2 linked regions of the Stegostoma tigrinum genome follow. The protein of the gene in region 1 interacts with the protein of each later gene in a pairwise test. Links are inferred from orthologs where the notes say so. Each region holds a gene or a part of one and is shown in the gene's direction. Other genes may lie near its edges.

What was found. The genes of interacting proteins can lie anywhere in the genome.
Region 2: the proteins of eea1 (region 1) and ras-related protein Rab-5B interact in binary tests that used the Homo sapiens proteins (3 or more experiments, as listed by UniProt). The link is inferred for Stegostoma tigrinum from reciprocal best matches to the Homo sapiens genes EEA1 and RAB5B.

What each region holds. Positions count from the first base shown.
Region 1 is NC_081378.1:49,457,044-49,467,191, reverse strand, and holds the start of eea1 (early endosome antigen 1), read left to right. Parts: upstream 1-5,450; 5' UTR 5,451-5,552; coding exon 5,553-5,576; intron 5,577-10,148. UniProt on the Homo sapiens protein: Binds phospholipid vesicles containing phosphatidylinositol 3-phosphate and participates in endosomal trafficking.
Region 2 is NC_081404.1:10,987,801-10,997,834, forward strand, and holds the start of ras-related protein Rab-5B, read left to right. Parts: upstream 1-6,142; 5' UTR 6,143-6,255; intron 6,256-6,913; exon of another isoform or gene 6,914-6,968; intron 6,969-10,034. UniProt on the Homo sapiens protein: The small GTPases Rab are key regulators of intracellular membrane trafficking, from the formation of transport vesicles to their fusion with membranes.

The sequences.
Region 1 (10,148 bases):
AGCCACGTGGACAAACGTGTGTCAACTTGGGAGAGCCAGCATCAATTTCTTAAGGCAAAATCATGCTTAACTAACTTTGCATACTTCTATGTACCAGGAACAGAGAGGCTTGATGAGGGTGTTGATGTGGTGCACATTCCCAAAAGACATATGATACAGTGGCACATAACAAACTTGTGATAAAATTTAACTCATGGAATAAAAGGGGCTGTGGCAATGTGGATGCAAACTCAGCTGAACAAAAGGAAACAGCGAGCAATGGCCAATGATATTTTTCAGGCTGGAGGAATGGAATTCCCAAGCAAGGTAGCTTGCTCTTCCTGATTTATGTTAATGATATAAACATTGGGGCAGGGGAAGTTGGAAGCATTCTTAATGTAGGAAGGACAGTGCAGACCTTCAAAAGGATATTCACAAGTAGATGGAGTGGTCAGATAGGTAGCAGATGAAGTTTAATGAAGAGAAATATGTGGTGATACATTTTGGGAGAAACAATATGTCGAGACAATACACAATAAAGGGGACTATTCTAAGGTAGTAGAGAGACCCGAGTGCATAAGTCATTAAAGGTGGCAAGACTGGTGGAGAACTCTAGCCTTCATTAATAACGGGACAGAGTCCAAGAGCAGGGAGGTAGTGTTGAACATGTTCAGGCACAAGTTAGATTTCAGTTGGAATAAAAGTGCTACACTTCAGGAATTTTTTGAGAGAGCACAGAGAAGTTTACAAGAATAGTTCCAGGGATGACACATTTCAGCTGTGAGGGTAGATTGGAGAAATTCATAGATTCATAGAGCACAGAAAAGGCCCTTCGGCCCATCGATCCTGCACCAACGTAACTACCCTCAGTGGTTAGCACTGCAGCCTCACAGTGCTGGGGACCTGAGTTTGACTCCAGCCTCGGGTGACTGTCTGTGTGGAGTTTGCACATTCTCACTGTGTCTGTGTGGGTTTCCTTCGGGTGCTCCGGTTTCCTCCCACAGTCCAAAGGTGTGCAAGTTAGGTGGACTGGCCGTGCTAAATTGCCCATGGTGTTCAGGAATGCATAGGTTAGTTGGGTTATGAGGGATGGATCTGTGTGGGATGTTCTGAGGGGTGGTGTGGACTTGTTGGGCCGAAGGGCCTGTTACCACACTGTAGGGATTCTATGATGCTATGACATTGGGACTGTCTTCCTTTGAGAGGAGAATTGATTGTAATTTTCAAAATCATAAGAGATCTGGATGGCACAGAGAGCAAATCTATTCCTGCTTTCAAAAGGGTGAAGAACGGGAGGGCACAGTTTTAAAGCAATTTGCAAAAGGGGTAAGTATGACGAGAGTAGTTTTCACCCTCCAAGTGATTAGGGTCGGGAATGTACCTCCTGGAAACGTGATGGAGGCAGGTTCAATGGAGGTATTGAGATCACAAAGTGCAGAGCTGGATGAACACATAGTCCAAGCAGCATCAGAGGAGCAGGAAACTGACGTTTCGGGCCTAGACCCTTCTTCAGATATTGTTTCTATTTAGATAATCATCAATATGTGGGGTTACAGGGGAAATTCAAGAGAATGGTACTAGATCATGACACTCATTAAGAGAACTGGAATAAACACAATGGGCTGAATGGCTTTTTCTGTCATTCTGTGTGGTTTATTTCAGCAAAATAAAGAAAACAAACTAGGAAGGATCACTTGGTAGAGTGAAGAACATTATAATATATTTAATATTTTGACAAGAAATAGTATTACTGGTATTCAGTTTTGATTTTAGAAAATGGTATAGAAAAGGTATTTGTTATAAATAGCATTAGTTGGATTTAGTCATGGGACTTTTGAGCAAAGCAGAAATACAAGAAAACATCTGCAGATGGTCACCATAAAACAACTATAATGCCTTGGTCATACACTCAAGAGACGGAAACTAAAACACCTGGTGCTAATGGGTAAGATTGAGGGTAGCAGAAAAAGAGGAAATAAAGGGGAAATACCCTGACAATTTAAGAAACAAAACAGCTACATGATTTGAGAGAGATAGTAGGAACTGCTGATGCTGGAGAATCTGAGATAACACTGTGTGAAGCTGGATGAACACAGTAGGCCAAGGAACATCAGAGAAGCAGGAAGGCTGACGTTTTGGGCCTAGACCCCCCCCCAGGATCTGTGTGAGCTTGCACTGAGGATTACTAGAACAGTGGGCTCAAGACGGAAATGTTGGTGTGGGAACACAGTGGTGTGGTGAAGTCACAGCTAACTGGAAGCTCGGGGTCATTTTTGAAAACAGAGCTTGGGTGTCCTGCAAAGCAGTCACCCAGTCTGTATTTCATCTCCCCAGTGTCGAGGAGACCACATTGTGGGCAGGGACTACAGTAGATGTGTTTGAGGCCGTGGATAGTGAGGAGGGAGGTGAGCAGGTAGGTGTAACACCTTCAGCGTTTGCATAGGATGGTGCTGTGGGAGAGTGGGGAGGTGTTGGGAATGGGCGAGGAGTGGGCCAAGGTGTCCCAGAGGGAACAGAATGCTGACAAAGGGTGGGGAGAGGAACATGTGCCTGTTTGCGGCATCCCGCTAGAGGTGACGGAGTTGGCGACTTACAATCCTTTAGATTCAGAGGCTTGGTGGTGTTGTAAGTGAGGACTGTGGGATCCTATCGTTGATGTGGGAGGGAAGGGAAGGGGTAAAGGCAGATGGGCCAGACATGGCTAAGGGTCTTTCAACCACAGTAGCGGGGAATCCTCAGTTGAGGAAAAAGCTGGAAATTTCCTGGGCTCCCTGAGGAAAGTGGCATCGTCAGAACAGACACAACAGTGATGGAGAAACTGGGAGAATGCGATCAAGTTTTTACTAGAAGCAAGGTGCGAGAATGTACAGTCCAGGTAACCAGGCAAGTTGGTGGGTTTCTAGCAGATGTCAGTGGCCAGCCTATTTCCCCAGAAATAGAAACAGGACATTAATGAAAGGAAGGGAGGAGTCAGAGATGGCCCAGATGAGGGTGAGGGTAGGGTGGAAATTGGAAGTGAAATTGATCTTTTTTTCCCAGATCAGGACAAGGGAGGGAGGCAGCACAGATTAGATTAGATTCCCTACAGTGTGGAAACAGGCCCTTCGGCCCAACAAGTCCTCACCCCCCCGGGAGCATCCCACCCAGAGCCATCCCCCTACAACCCACACACCCCTGAACACTACAGGCAATTTAGCATGGCTGATCTACCTAGCCTGCACATCTTTGGACTGTGGGAGGAAACCGGAGCACCTGGAGGAAACCCACACAGACATGGGGAGAATGTGCAAACTCCACACAGACAGTTACCCAAGGGTGGAATCGAACCTGGGTCCCTGGCGCTGTGAGCCTGCAGTGCTAACCACTGAGCCACCATGCCGCCCCAGGTGTCATTGATGTCGTTGATGTACTAGAGAAAGAATTGTGGGGAAGAGTCTAAAAATTGATAGACAGCCTGCTTGATAGACAGCATAATGTTTACCTGGAAAACTGGGTTTTCAGTACGTTAAAAGTAAAGGAGAAAAATTTTGGTTCTATAATTTAAAGTAAAGGCAGTGTTCAGTCATTGTTACTTTTAGTTAATTTGTTACAATAAATCTCAAAAATACAATCTCCTCATGTTGGCCTTTCATCTGTTAACTGGAAGTTCAAATTTCTTTTGTAAGAAGGTCAAGTGAGGTGGGAGAAGCGGATAGGTGGGAGAGAAGATGGACAGGTTGTGTCAGGTCAAGGAGGCTGGATGAGAGGGAGGGTTGGTCATGGGATGAGGCCGGACTTGGGGAGATTTTAAAACTGGCAAGGTCCACGTTTAGGCCATTGGGCTGTAGGCTCCCGAGGCGGAATATGAGGTGCTGCTCCTCCAGTTTCTGGGTGGCGTCATTGTGACACTGGAGGAGACCCAGGATGGACACGTCACCCAGGGAGTAGGAGGGGGAGTTGGAATGGTTCGGGACTGGAAAGCGTTGTCATTTGTCGTGAATCAAGTGTAGGCACAGTACAAAGCGATCTCCGAGCCTCTGCTTGGTCTCACCGATGTAGAGGAGGCCACATCAGGAGCAGTGGATGCAATAGACCACATTGACGGATGTGCAGGTGAATCTCTGTCTGATGTGAAAGGTTTGTTGGGTGCCTTGGATGAGGGGGGAGGTGTAAGGGCAGGTGTAGCACATCCTGCAGTTGCAGGGAGAGGTGCTGAGGGCTGTGGGGCTGGTGGGATTAGTGGGGAGTGTGGATCGGACGAGGGAGTCACCGAGAGAGCAGACCCTAAGGGAGGCAGATGGGGATGGGAAGGAAATATATTGTTGGTTGTGGGTTCAGATTGTAGGTGGTGGAAGTGGCGGAGAATGATATATTGGATACGCAGGTTGGTGGGGTGATATGTTAGGACAAGGGGAATTCTGTCTTTGTTTTTGTTGGGGGGGAGGGGTTGTGAGGGCAGAAGTGCGGGAAACACAAGAGATGCAGTGGAGAGCATTTTTGACCACTAAAGGGGTGAAGTTGTGGTCCTTGAAATAAGAGGACACCTGGGATGTTTGGGAGTGGAACACCTAATCTTGGGAGCTGATGCGGCGAAGGCGGAGGAATTAGGACTAGGGGATAACATTCTTGCAGGAATGTGGGTGAGAGGAGGTGTTGTCTAGGTAGCTGTGGGAGTTGGTGGGCTTGAAATAGATGTCAGTTTTGAGGCGGTCAGCAGAGATGGAGGCAGAGAGATCTAGGAAGGAGAGAGAGGTATGGCACTAACCCCCACCTCTTCCTATGCTACCCCGGTGACACCTCCCCCAACCCCTGGCCCTACCCTACGGGCAGCTCCATCAACCCCTGGCCCTACCCCGGTGACACCCCCCCAACCCCTGGCCCTACCCTGCCGGCACATCCCCCGACCCCACCCCGGGGGCACCTCCCCAAACCCCTGGCCCTACCCTGGGTCACCTCCCCCAACCCCTGGTCCTACCCTGAGGACACCTCCCCAAACCCCTGGCCCTACCCCGGGGACACCTCCCCAAACCCCTGGCCCTACCCTGCGGGCACCTCCCCCAACCCTACCCCAGGGGCACCTCCCCCAACCCCCGGCCCTACCCCAGGGGCACTTCCCCCAACCCCTAACCCGGTGACACCTCCCCCAACCACTGGCCCTACCCTGCGGGCACCTCCCCCAACCCCTGGTCCTACCCTGAGGACACCTCCCCAAACCCCTGGCCCTACCCTGCGGGCACCTCCTCCAACCCTACCCCAGGGGCACCTCCCCCAACCTTCGGCCCTACCCTGCGGGCACCTCCCCCAACCCCCAACCCCTGGCCCTACCCCGGGGGCACCTCCCCCACCCCCTGGCCCTAACCCGGTGACACCCACCCCCAACCACTGGCCCTACCTTGCGGGCACCTCCCCCAACCCCACCCCGGGGGCACCTCCCCCATCCCCTCGGCCAGGGGGCGTTAGTGCTCAGGCCCCTCCCTTTCTGGGTGGGGCTAACACAGCCGGCTGCTGGCTCTGGCAGGACAAGGAGGAGGCGGCGGCCCAGGCTCTGCTCAACGTGTCCCCGGCTCCGTCTGTCTCTCGGGCAGGACCAGGCCATGTTCCGCCGGATTTTGCAGCGGGTGAGTCTGAGGGATACGGGCTGGGATCCCGGCCCCGGCAGGCAGGCCCTGGGTACTCCTCCCCATCCTGCAGGAGCCAAGGCCTGAGTGCGGCCTGCGGCAGCATCGAGCCCCACCCGGGACGGGGCACGGACCACCCCCACCCCGACACACACACACCCCGTTCTCATCTCACACCCACCACCCTCACCCCGTCTGTCACTGTTCTCCCTACCCTCAACCCCCAGCCACCTCCCCACCTTTGACACCATCCATTTTGGGGTGGGGTCGCATAGCTCTGTGTTTGTGTCTAAGGGTTTTTCTGGGTGAGTGGGTGGTGTTGGTCGAGGGGCTGTTGTGGGTGGGCAGTATGTCTGAGGCGGGCAGCTATTTGGGGTGGTTCAGGGTCACTGGGAGGATTGGTTGGGTTGTGATCTTGTGTGAGTCTGTGTGTTCCTGAATGTGGGAATGGGGTTGGGTGTGTCTGGGAATAAATCTAATTGAAACTGTGTCAGAAAACAGGCTTTGTCTCCTTTCATCAACTATCCTTCCCAATTCACTCTGAAGTTAGTGGATTATCATTAATACTGGGCAGGGTTGTAAATCCCGATCCCATAAGCCATCCATCTGCTGAACGGGGTTAAAACTGCATTCTGTGCCCTGGTGTATTTTCTGTATTTCCTTGTTTTAAAGGTTGTGTTAGATTTCTTGTGCAATGTTATTTTTGTCTGTTGTCAGTTTTCTGTGTTTGACAGTTCTGTTGCTGTCTGGTGTGTTAGACATATTCCAGAAGAATGAGACTGGCTTCCTACAGTGGCTTGATGTTATTTTGGGACCTGAGACACATGCTTCCAGGAGTGTGGTATTAGCAGAGAATATATTCTCTAAAAGAAGCTCATTTGTTATGGCACCTACACTCAGGTCCTGCTCGGTGTCCGTCTCTGCTCTCACCGTTATTGGTCTCTCTGCAGATCATAACAAATGTCTCCCAGAATGTTTCTATTCAGTCGCTTTATTTCACATTTGCTCAACACATGGCAAATTATTTACCAGCCAATTCCTGGTGCCTCTTTACCTTGTGTGTGATATAGGTGAGTGGTAAGCATCTTGATTCTGGGTCATGTTATAGACCCAATACTAAAGCTGAGATAAAGAAACTTGGCTACCAGTGCATTACTGGGACTAGACATGCCTTGGCAGAGGGTCACAACTGAGGGGTGGAGATTTGGAGGGGGTTTTGCTTTGGCTTTTTGTCTAAGTGTTAGGGGTGTTGTGGGACACTATCCTGGGGGGAGTTGTTGTGCTGATACTCTGCCCTGTTTGGCCCAACCATCTTCAGCTGCTTCCTCAATGACCTTACGTCCATCATAACATTAGAAGTGGCGATGTTTGCTGATAATTGCACATTATTCAGCACTATTTGCAACTCCTCAGATACTGAGGCAGTCTATGTTCAACAGGATCTGGACAATATCCAGCCTTGGGCAAAACAAAAAGGTGGCAAGTAACTTTCATACCATGCAATTGTCGGGCAATGACCATTACCAATAAGAGACAATCCACCCACTTTCCCTTGACATTCAATGGTGTTACCATCAGTGAATCATCCGCTCTTCACGTCCTGGGAATTACGATTGATCGGAAACTCAATTGGACTTGCCATATAAATACAGAACAAGTCAGAGGCTGGAAATACTGCAATAAGTAACTCACCTCCTGAATCCCCAAAGCCTAACCGCCATCCACAAGGCATGTGTCAGGAGTGTGATGGAATACTCCCCACTTGCCTGGATTAGTGCAGCTCCAACAACACTCAAGAAGTTTGACACCATCCAGGATAAAGCATTTCCACAATATGACAAAATTGTTACAGCGCACGAGGAGCCCATTTAGCCTATTGTGCCTGGCCTGGTTTTGTTACCTATTGCCTGACTCTTCTCCATATCCCTGCACACCATTTACATCTCAGTAATCATCTAATGACTTTTAGAATGCCTCTATTGAACCTGCCTCCATCACATTTCCTGGTAATGCATTCCATACTCTAACTGCTTGCCCCCAAAAAAGTTCTGTCACATCATCCTTGCTTCATTTGTGCATCCTTTTATATCTAGTTCCTCGCAATTTTTTTTAGCAGGAATAGCTTCTCCTGGTCTACTCTGTCTAGTCCTTTCATGGTTTTGAGGACCTACATCAGAAATCCTCTTTGCTGCCTTCTCTCAAAGGAGACCAATCCCAACTTCTTCAATCTATCCTAATAACTGTAGTTTCTCATCCCTGGATCCATGCTTGTAAATAATCTATGTCCTACCTGCAGTGCATTCACATCTTTCTTATAATGTCCCTACAACTGTACACAGAATTCTGGATGAGGTCTATTATGTGTCTTGTGCAATTTCAACATTACCTCCCTGTTTTTGTACTGTATGCCGCTATTAGTATAGCTGACCGCAGAGCTTTATTAACTGCAATCTCCAAATGGCCTGCCACTCTCATTGATCTTTTGATAGATGTGTATGGGTCCCTTTGCTTATCCACTCTTTTAGGATTGTATTGTTTTTTACTGTTTTAGAATGTTCTTCTGACCAAATCTTTGAATATTCTACTGAACAAAAACACTTTTGTCCACTTTTTTGGACAGAAGCAGTTCTAACAACACACGGAAAGCACAGCAACAGTCAGGAACAAATTGCATGCTGACTGTACTTCACCCACTTTAAAGGCACTCCTCTGTCTGGTGGTAGCATTGTACTTGTTAGGGCTCCTTCACCTGCTAGCCTGCAACCTTAGGCCCTGAGAAGGTACTAAATTAGATTACTTCTGAGGAAGGGTTGCAAGACCCGAAACATTAACTGAATTTTTCTTGACAGATGCTGCCAGACCTGTTGAGCCTTTCCAGCAATTTCTGTTTTCCTGAGTTACAGCATCTGCAGTTCTTTTGGTTTTTAATTACCAATTTAGATGTGTTTATTCTGTACATTGCAATGGGTTGATGCTCAGAGAGGTGTTGAGTTACTTCTGTTCTGGGATTGCATTTGAATAACGCTGATTGGAAAGTGGGTAAAGGTGAGATATTTGAAGTATAGTAGGACAGTGTGCACATTCTGGGTCAAAGTCATGTGATATGTTACATGGTTCATGAGGATTCATGCATGGCTTTTACATGTAGGCAGATGAGGTGCAGTTGACGCTCAGTCATGATAATGCTTGTTTTTTTTGATATGTTTTTGTTTCTGAATGTTGCTCCTCACAAGTTCATTAACATCCTCTGAGGGGCCCCCATGTTTTCCACTCTGTGAGTTTGCCTCAGTCTAATGTGAGTTTGCACATTATGATCTCTTTCTAGTCCGTCCTTGCTGACGCATTTGATGCTGTGCTTTGCATTCCAGCCAGTTGGCACTGTCAGGAATGAGAGGTGTTTGACTTTGAGGTTGAACAAGTGGGAGGGCATACATGAAGCCATTAGCCAGAATTGTTGCTGTGTTGTGATGGAAAAATCATTCACTGTATGGCTCCTGTGGCTGAGAGGTCAATTTTCTCATTGCAGTCTTGTCTGTGTACTTTCATATTTCAGAAAGTGGTGTTTATGGAATGATTGAAACAGGCCTGTGCACTGATGTGACAGAAGTTAACAATCTTGAAAGCAGTGGGTTTGCAGAACTGTGATGTGGGACCTGAGATTTAAAGGAGCAGTTATAGGTGGATCAACTGAGGACAGAAATAATGCATTTTTAAGTTGGACTCATCCTGACAGGTACTGGGCTGAATCTGGTTCTTTGACATCTGTTGACAAGCCCATCAGTTGTGCAACACAAACAGGTCATTCAGTCCATGGACCTATGTCAATGTTTATGCTCTAGCCAGCCTACTTCATTTACCCTATCAGCATATCTTTGTACTTTTTTTTATTCCCTCCCTGATGTTAATCCAGCTTCTCCTTTACATGTCATTATGTTGTTTGCCTCATGTGGGAACAAGCTTGACATTCCCACCACTCTGAGTAAAAAGGTTTCTCTTGTTCATCCTATCAGATTGACTCTTTGTTAAAACATTAGCTGAATAACCCTGAGCATGCTAATAATTATGCTGACAACCAATGTAAGGTTGTCAGCTCAGTTTGCAGTGTGGCTCACTTGGAAGAACTACATATAAAATGGCACAAGACCCTATTTGCAGATAACATGTACTCACATCTGTTTCAACGTAACAAAATGGCAGCAGCCAATATCAAGTCGGTTTCTTGGGAGCCACGTCCTGATGAAATTATTCAGAGTCAACTTTCCTGATATAGCTTGGCAGTTAACTGTCAGTCATGAACTAACTGATACAATCTCCATTGCAACATGTCTACCAATTTGAGTCCACTTGACATCGCGATAGCATTTATTTTGATAATATTGTCATACTTAACGTTGGTACTCTTGCAGATGTCCTGATAAGTGCTCGAAAGGTTTTGACAAAATGTCTTTTGCAGCAGTGCACAAATGGAACTTTCATATTGTTTTTATCACACTCATTAATTGTAATCATAGCCTCCCCTTAGACATTCTCTCTTTGGCGAAAGAGTCTCAGCTTCTTCCATCTATCCTGTTA
Region 2 (10,034 bases), on another chromosome or scaffold:
CATGTCAGTAAGGACTGCTTGCATACAGTTTGGCAGAAGCTTTTCCCAGACTTTTTTCAAGATTTTAAAGGCTTTGATCCATCAGAGGAGCTCCCAAGAATCAAAGAACATTGTGTTGATCTTGCAAAGCAAGTTGGATTTGAAGAAGTGGAGAGTGAGGATGTTGAAAAACTGCTTGAATCCTGTTGTGGAGACCTGTCTACAGCTTGATCTACAACAACTTGTCGCTGAGGGGGAAGTGGAAGCTGGAGATGAAGAAGAAGTAGTCCAGGATGCAGCAGCACAAGGGCTTTCCACTTCTGTTTTGTCTTCTATCCTAAGGGAAATTGAGAAGCAGTTGTAGCTGTTAGAGGACAGTGATTATAATAGAACACAGGAGGGTAGCAGTTCGTGGAATAAGATCTTATTTGGACCCTATGAGCAGCTTCTTCATGAAAGAAGAAAAAGGGTAAAGCAGCAAAAACTGGATGTCTTTTTTAAGCCAACTCTCAAGAAACAGAAGACAATGAACCACAGCCATCCACTTCTGGATTAACTATTTTCCACCCAAATCCTGCAACCACAACTGCACCTGAAGGCGATGATGACGACGATGATCCTCCGCCCCTGCATTAGAAACACAGCAACCTTAAAACTTACCCCCCCATCAAGTCATCTTGACGCTTTTTAAAGGCACGTTGTTAAATTTACTTTTATTTCATTATTAGATATGAATTAAAGATTTAGTCAAACTCTGCTATCCTTTGTGTTAGGCTTTTGAGTAATTTTTGAGAGATTTTGAGTGATTTTTTTTGGTGATCTGCCCATAACCCCACTTTTCCCATAGGCCCCATTATTTCTATAGCACGATTTTCTATTATACAATGTTGCGCAGGAATGCAACTATCGCGTTGTAGCAGAACCAACTGTATTATTTGAAAATATACACAACTGGAAAACAAAGGGAGAACTCTTTAAAAACACCTTTATTTAGGAACAAATAATGATACATGTAATAAATATTGGAGTATCAAACTAGTAGTATATGGATTCTCCTCCCCCCATGTTTAAACTACATACAGAAAATGGTGCCTTGCTATTGGACGCATTTAATGTGAACACGCACGTGCTCTGTCACAACCCAGACGTCATGGAAGAAAATGGTGCTGCTGAAAGTGTGTAATATGAATAATTGCATTGAGGATAAATGACAGATGAGACAGAGGAAGTGGGTGCAGAATCACATGCCTGCAGGTAGGCCCCTGCTCTCACAAGGCTAGAGAGGGCAGACATTCCTGCTGCCAGCCTTCCACTCTCCCACCCCACCCACCAAACCCCCTTGGTTCACAGCATGTACGGTGGCCTTGCTGCATTATGTGCAATCACAAATCACTCTAGATCAGATCTACTTAACTAGTTCAAATAACATCCATGAAGTTACAAGATCCCGGATGAAGATCATTGAAGGTAAAAGCCTAACTCATTGGCAAAGCTCTGATGTAAGGGAAGAATATTCTCGGAATCTCTGTCATTCAGAATTGAGAATATTCTCTACACAGCAGAAAGGCCTGCTTAAAGTTCAGATTAACTTGTGAAGTCAATGAAATTGCTGATGCTGAGCAAACAACTATATTTCAGTGAGTTTACAAAATTGTTTTCAGAGCAGGGAAACTTAAAGACTGAATATCCCATCATCTACATGATGCTAAACCAATTTGCTTATGCATGCTGAGGACATTGTTGGGCAAAATTTAAGATAAGAAATAGAAGATGGACTACAACACAGAGTAATTTCAGCAGTTACCATGCTAACAAGATGGTATTCCAGTACGATTAGTTTTCCAAAAAAATATATTTCAATAAGAATGTGCGTAGATTTAATGCAGTTCAACAAAGCAGTGGAGCATGAATTCACCTAATGGCTTTTAATCAATGAAAGTCTGGCAAAATTTGCCAAGAGCACCCTATGCATTAAACAGTGGATTTTGACATTTACCTCTGGATGAGGACTCTAGAAAGTTAACTGAATTGATTACACCTTTCAGGTATTATTGTTTGAAAAGAATACCTTTCAGAATTGCACTCATCCCAGAAATGTTTCAGAGAATAATGTCCAATACATTAAAAGAACTCAACTGTATAAAATGTCATTTAAAAAATGAAAGAACAGGGTTGAAGGGTTTGAACTATAGGGAGAGGCTGAATAGGCTGGGGCTATTTTCCCTGGAGCATCGGAGGCTGAGGGGTGACCTTATAGAGGTTTATAAAATCATGAGGGGCATGGATAGTGTGAATAGTCAAGATCTTTTCCCCAGGGTAGGCAGTTCCAAAACTAGAGGAACATAGGTTTAAGATGAGAGGGGAAAGATTTAAAAGGGACCCAAGGGGCAACATTTTCACGCAGAGGGTGTTACGTGTATGGAATGAGCTGCCAGAGGAAGTGGAGGAGGCTGGTACAATGACAACATTTAAAAGGCATCTGGATGGGGACATGAATAGGAAGGATTTAGAGGGATATGAGCCAAATGCTGATAAATGGCACTAAATTAATTTAGAATATCTGGTCGGCATAGACAAGTTGGACCAAAGGGTCTGTGTCCATGCTGTATATCTCGATGACTCTGTGGCTCTATAACTGCGGATGCTGTAAATCAGAAACAAAAACAGAAGTTGCTGGAAAATCTGAGCAGGTCTGGCAGCTTCTGTGGACAGAAATCAGAGTTAACTTTTTAGCTTCCACAGTTCTGACCCGAAAAATTAACTCTGATTTCTCTCCACAGATGCTGCTACACCTAGAACATAGAACATTACAGCACAGTACAGGCCCTTCGGCCCTCAATGTTGTGCCGACCTGTCATACCGATCTCAAGCCCATTTTTGTTTCTCTAGGAAACAATCACACAAAATGGTCAGCTTTTCCAGCAATATTTGTTTTTATTTCAGAATTAAGTTAGCTTGTTTAAGTTTGACTTCTGACTTTGTCCACCCCAGCACCTCCACATCATGTTTAAGTCTGTTTAAGGGTCTCAGGAAGAGATATTGACTAAAGAAATAGCATTGAGTGAATGCAAAGGCTTTCTGAAAAGAAACCGAGTACAGCCATGCCAACTGAACTTTAAATTGCAGGCTTTTGTGAATATGTTCTATGACTGACTAGCACAATAGAAATAAAATGTATGGTCTATCAAGCCAGGTTTCACTTTGGGATCTGACTTGTCCAATAGTACCACTAGCTGGGATCATAACGAAGCCACTAAAATCATTTTCTGAAGAAGGGTCAAGGCCCAAAATGTCAACTTTCCTGCTCCTCTGATGCTGCCTGGCTGCTGTGTTCATCCAGCTCTACACTGTGTTGTCACTGAAATCACAGAAAAGCTATGAGAATTTTCTCACCTAGGAATGTCATGGAAATTCAAAGACTCCTTGCTATGGTGAATTTATTGGGCAAGTTTCTACCAAACTTGGCAGAGGTTAATAAGCCTTTGTAACAGCTTTTAAAATACATTTGTCAATGGTGCTGCAACATCGACCAAGAAAGTGCTTTCAAAAAATTTAACAACTTCTGATCTCTTCAGAAATCGTAGCAACTATCATCCAGGTTTACCGAATATAATAGCGATAGATATGTAATCTACAGAATTGGGGGCAGTGCAATTTCAAATGCAGGAAAATGAAAAGCATGCACAAGTTTAGTATGCCACTAGATCACTAACAGAAACAGAACAGTATTACACCATGATTGAGAAAGAAACTTTAGCAGTAACATGGCATATGAAGGTTACACCTCAAAATTGAAACCAACCATAAACCCTGTCTTCTGATCACAAAAGAAATCGCCTAGATGCTGCCTAGAAGTCAGTGGTTCAGGTTAAAATTTGTGAGGCATAATTCAATTACTGAGTATGTCCAAGGGAAGTACCAAACAACAGCAGAAACTCTCTCAAGGATACCATCAGAACAAAAGGTTAAACCTTAGTATTGAGGAGCTTGAAGCCTACACTTCAGAGGTTACTAACCACTTACCAGTTACTGAAAGGAAGTTGTCAAATATACAAGAAGCCCAAAGATAGGATGAAGAAAATATTGAAATCCAGAAATATGGTCTGGAAGGATAGTCAAATTATATACCTAATAATCCAACACTGCCCCAGTATCTCGTACAGCACAAACACCTGTTTTTGATGACTTGCTAGTCTTTAACAAGAGCTTGACTGTAAGACATCAGAGCAGAAGTAAGGCATTCAGCCTATTGAGTCTACCTTCCCATTTCAACAAGATCATGGCTGATCTGCTAATGCTCAACTGCACTTTCTTGCCTTTTCCCAAAGCTTTACCCTGTATCTAACCCCTTGCCGTACCTGTCCTGCAATTCCTTAAACACTAAAGTGCCAAGTTGAACTTGTACCACCTAAGTGCCAGGCAGAGACCATTTCCACTAAGAGAGAAGCTAACCATCTCCCCTTTATCTTCAGTGTCATTACCATGGCTGAATTCCCACTGTCAACATCCTGGGGGTAAAACAGTGACTAGAAGCTTAACTAGACCAGCCATATGAACGAAGAGATCAGATCAGAAACTGGAAATTCGGCAGTGAGTAACTCACCTCTTGACTCCTCAAAACCATGTACAAGTCAGGAGAGTAATCATGCATACACACTCTTCTCTTGACAAGTTTGAGGCAGGAATGAGGAGAAATGTTTTTCACGGAGGGAGATTGATCAGTGGATTCCCTTCTCCAGAAAGCAGTGGAGGCTGGATCATTGAATATTTTAAAAACTAATTTAAGTAGATAATTGATTGATAAGACAAATAGGTGGTAGACAGGAAAGTGGAGTTAGTGCCACAATAAAATCAACTGCGACCTTATCAAATATTGGAGCAGGTTCAGAGACTTAGTCCTGTTCCTAATTTCTATGTTCATATATAATGAATGTTGATGAGTACAGACCCAACAACACTCAAGAAAAGTGACACTATCCTGGGCAAATCAATCAACTTAATTGGCACTCGTCCATCATCTTAAAATATATTCTCTCCACCATCAGTCCAAACTTGTAGTAGTTTGTGCTATCTAGAAGGTGCATTACAGGAATTTGTCAAGCCTCCAAATCTACAACCACAATCATGCAGAAGGACAAGGCAGCAGACAAATGGGTATTTCCTTCACTGTCACATGATCAAAATCCTGCAACTCCCTTCCTAAGAACGCTGTGGGTCTGGCTACTGCACATGGACTGCAATGGTTCAAGAAGGCACTCACCAATTTAGAGATATACAATTACTACTGCTAGTGAAGACTAAATTGCATTAAAAATTACAAATTATTATTGTGTATTATGTACAAATTGCCTGTAATACTCATTAAATCCCTACAGAGTGGAAGCTTGGTCCATTTGGCCCATCAAGTCCATACCAACCCTCCTAACAGCATACCACCCAGACTCACCCTGTTCCCAAGTTTCAACAGACTTAACGCGCACATCTGTGGACTGTGGGAGGAAACTGGAACACCCAGAGGCTAACCACTGAGGCACTGTGACACCCCGTGTTTCCCTACATTACACCAGTGTTTAAAATTCAAAAATGTTTTCTCAGCTGCAACGAATTTTAGGTTTTCCTGAGGCAGTGAAAAACATTATAGAAATTCAAGCTCTTTCTTAAGTGACCCCCAAGAGATGGAAATGTACTCACATAAATGCTGCAAGTTTGGTCGAATTGAAATTATTTCAAAGAAATAGGGATATTCTGTCCTGTTAAATCTAACAACAGGAATTTAAATCAATCATTCAATATTAGGAGCGCTTTGGGCCTTCCTGTATATTATTATGATGATATATTAATTGCGCTATGCAAAAAATGCAACGCATATATTTTCCAATTATAGAAGTCAACTCTGACCTCATTGTTTTCTGTCACCTGATGACAAAGGGGCAACCAACTTCACCGGACCACAGGAAGTCCCGCCTTCACTAGATCAGCTTTCTGATTGGTTCACTTACCATAATCACCTATTCCTAAAATCATTTGGCCAGTGGTCAGAATTTTCTGTTAATCACTTGGAGCACCTATCGCTATTGGTCATGTGCACGGCTCTACCCGCCTTCTTTTGTCATTGGTGAAATTAGCTGTCAATAAGGATTTGTCAACTTTTTATTCTATTCCAGTGCTGCCAATCAACTTACGCAGGCGGCAGTGGTCCAGACTTTTGGCTCGGTCTCCAGTTCATGCGACCCTATTTTTTAAAAAAAAACTTGTGAAGTTGAAGGCGTCGTGAAGGTAAAACAAAAATCTGATTCTAGTCATCATTGTTTGTAAATTACCTGTCCCTAATGAAAGGTAAATGTGGGTTCTTCCTAATTGAAGGTTCTGTGTTCCACAAAATGTTTTGCTAAGTGTTTTCCAATGGGCGGGTAGAAGCCGACTTCAATATTCATCAATGTATCTTCTATCCGAAGACCAGATTTTAACACTCCGCCCCCCACCACAAGTATGGCATTGATGTTGTCAGCCGATGGCTACTAACTTAGAGCAGGGTTTTTCCTTGAAGTAAGCCTTGATCCTTTCTTGCTATTGAGATTTCGTTTTGTTTCGGTGGGACGTTAAAATAACGTTCTGGACCATATTGCTAGTCTCCCCTATTGAAGTTGAGGACCATGTCATAGCGCTAATAACACTGTCTAATACAACGTAACACCCGTTTTCTAGTGCTTCTCTGTGGGGACAGTGTCCTCGACGTAATGTGACTGAGTGCTCAGCCCACTAATCTTTGTCTCTCGTATAAATCAAGCCGATGGCCCAAGACTATCTTTCCAATTAATTCAATTGAAAACAAACATGATTAATTGCCAATAGAGATCCACATGCATAGCCTATACTTGAATAAGTTAAAGGTCAATGAGCAAACTAATTTACTTGCGAGTGTCTTCTTCACCAGCAGTGCAGTTCGAGGAAAGAGCAACAAGACTGTGGGCCTAACAACCTCTGTAAAGGCAAGATTGTTTTTCCCTCAACAAATGCCAAACGTTTTCTGTCTGAATATTCCCAGCACTTTGCATTGTCAATAGTTTGTATTAATTTAAAAATTCAACTGACTCAAACAGCAAAAACCAGCTGCATGCAAGTGGTTCTCATATTTGATAGAATGTATTGTTTTACATATGGCTTCTCTCCTTTTGAAGGAAAGCAGCCACTACTTATTTTGAAGTAGATAGCTCCTACGAAGTGCAGTTGATTGCTCCATTTTTCAATTTAAGCAGCCAACAGGAGTGTCAATACTTTTAATTTTTAATTTTGCCTTTTCTCTCTCCTGGTTTTGTCTTCCATCTTGGATGTGGATGTACTTGCACTTAGTTTTTTTTCCTTTAGTGGTTCTGTGTGGGGGTTGGGTATTTATCTCACTGTGCAGACTGTTTCTTCAGTTCAAAGGTACTTTCATGCACCCTCCATTTAAGGGTGACTGGCTGATCCAGTGCAAGTCACTATTGACTAAGTTAAAACCTCTGCTCTAATCTGATCAGTTCTAGGTAAGACCCACAGCATTCCTCAGTGAAAGAGCCAAAGGCTCATCTATCAAGTCTGAATTAAGTAAAATCTCTAGGGGAAAATTGGGTTTTATCAACTGTTACTTGACTGCTCTTATGCAAGATACAGTTGCACTGGGGGAGCAAAATGATTATTGGGGCAAGGAAAGCCAAATCAAATGCCTGCAAATATAAAGTTCTTTGACTATTAATCACTTAATGCAGTGGTGAAGCAAACCATCATTGTAAAAAAAAGTCTAAATTGTCTAAGCTACTGTGCAGAAGTTTCACTTTTTTTGTAATATGTTCAAACTGCATTTTGTCTCTTTTTTTCTGGAGGTTTTATTGAGCTAGAGTCCTTCTGATATGAAGCATAGGGCCCTTCCAGTAAGCTATTTCTGTACACTTTTTCTTGCCTGGCTGCCCCTGTGGCTCAATTCAGTCTAGTTGAATTTTTTGGTAATATCATACTTTTGACTGAAAACTTGGTGTTTACTCTGAACATTTCCAGGTCTGCCTTTAAGGCTTCTTTCAGAATTGTGTTATGCCTGTAAACCCTAAATTCATCTCATCTAATCTAGTATTAGAATTCTTGGACTCTTATCTACTTGTGCTTATTTTGCATAGGATAGCAAATAAATGAAATGTTCCAGACCTTGAGATTGAGTAAACCTGAGTTCAGAAATGAACTTCAAATCTGGTTAGGCTTCCACAGTACATGTCTAATGTGGTAAAAGGACATCCTGTATTGTGCCTGTTTTTAAGTTAATTTCCATCCTGTTGCCACTGCTAACATGGCAGTGATTGGCAGTCTGGACATAGGGTTTGGAATCCACTGGGAACAAGACTTCCCATGCTATGGCTGTCAAAGCTCTTTCATCCCATCGCTGTTAACGTCATTCTTCAATCTGCACTAACCCCCTGTTTGTAGCCAGGTGTTTACTTGACTTAAAATTCAGTTAATGACTCTTGATGTTTTGAACCTTGGTGTTTTAGGTTAAATCAACCTGGGAAGCTTTATTGGTCCACACTTGACCAGTAAACACTGATCATCTCTTTTTGGATTGCTTTCATGAGTGGATTTTAATTCTTGAACTCCAGTAATAGCCATGGCACATGACGTATAAACTGTGTAGACAAGTAGTTTGTGCTGTCATCTAGTGACTGCAAAGCTGTGGCTAAACCTAGTTTATAGGAATGTGATTCATGGGGAATTTTGTAAATTTGAAGTAATGTGTATGAGTGAAACCTCCCAAAAGTGACTAGTCATTCTTTGCATTTCCAATATCCCCTTTAGTTTCACCAAACTTTTTTGCACCCTTGTTGCTTAATCCAAGCCAGCTGTTATGTTGTCAGTATGTGCAGGAGTTGGTGTTGTTGCTCATATTTCATGAAATAGAAATGTCTACCTACACAAAGGGAGCTAATCTTTAATATGCCTTTTTTAAACTTGAGTCACGGTGCTTGACCAATGTAAGAGTTGCTGGGAGGATGTGATGGCACAGGCTTGTTGAGTTTCAGTAATGCTACCTTCTTTAACTTGTAATCTTCTAGTGGAGAAGCAGTGTTCAATATTGTGTAAAGAACAAAATTTACAGCACAGGAACAGGCCCCTTGGCCCTCCAAGCCTGTCAATCCAGATTCCCCCTCAACTTGTTGCCTATCTTCCAAGGATCTGTATCCCTCTGTTCCTTGCCCATTCATCTATCTGTTTTAGATACATCTTAAATGACACTATCGTGCCTGCCTCTGACAGTGTTCCAGGCACCTGCCATACTCTGCATAAAGAACTTTCTATGCATGTCTCCCTTAAACTTTCCTCCTGTTGAACTGTAGGGTAGCTTGATCTTAGTAGGATAACAGGTGTAGCTTTCAGCTTTCTGGAAACCTAAACCTGAAACTGAGACAAGGCATGGTCATATAGTTTACAATGAGGTTCTTTTGCAGCTGTACTACTTGAATTTGTTCTGAGTGTTTTCAGGCTTATGGATTTAATTGCTTGTCTTGCTTGAATCAGGATGACTAGTGCTGCTTCTAACATGTGGCCAGAAGCCACAGTTAAGGAAATGTACAAATAGGTGAATTAAATGACTAGTCTTAGAATTGTTTTAAAGTACACACGCTCCTCTCCATCCTTACTACCCCCCACCCCAAAACAAATTCACATTATTACTTGCAACTAGATTTGGCTTTGACTCACTAAAATGTGCTAGAGTGAAGGGCTATTAGGGTTACTACCACTGCACCACATCTGAGCCAGAAGGCCTAGGTTCAGGTGTCTCCTGTTCAAGGCACAAAACATCTGAGCAAGTTAACTGGACTGAGGGCAAGAGTCAAAAGTTGAGTTGTTTTTACTTGTTCTGTTAACTGGCATTAGGGGCCCATTTCCCCACTGCAGCTCCTTTTTAATCAGTCACCTTGCAAACCAATCTGGCCTCATGCAGAACAATGGTGGTTTACCCTTCAGCAAGATGGTGAGAATGCTTTGATCTTAAACAATAAATTCCTTGCATTGCTCATCCAGACATGATTTGT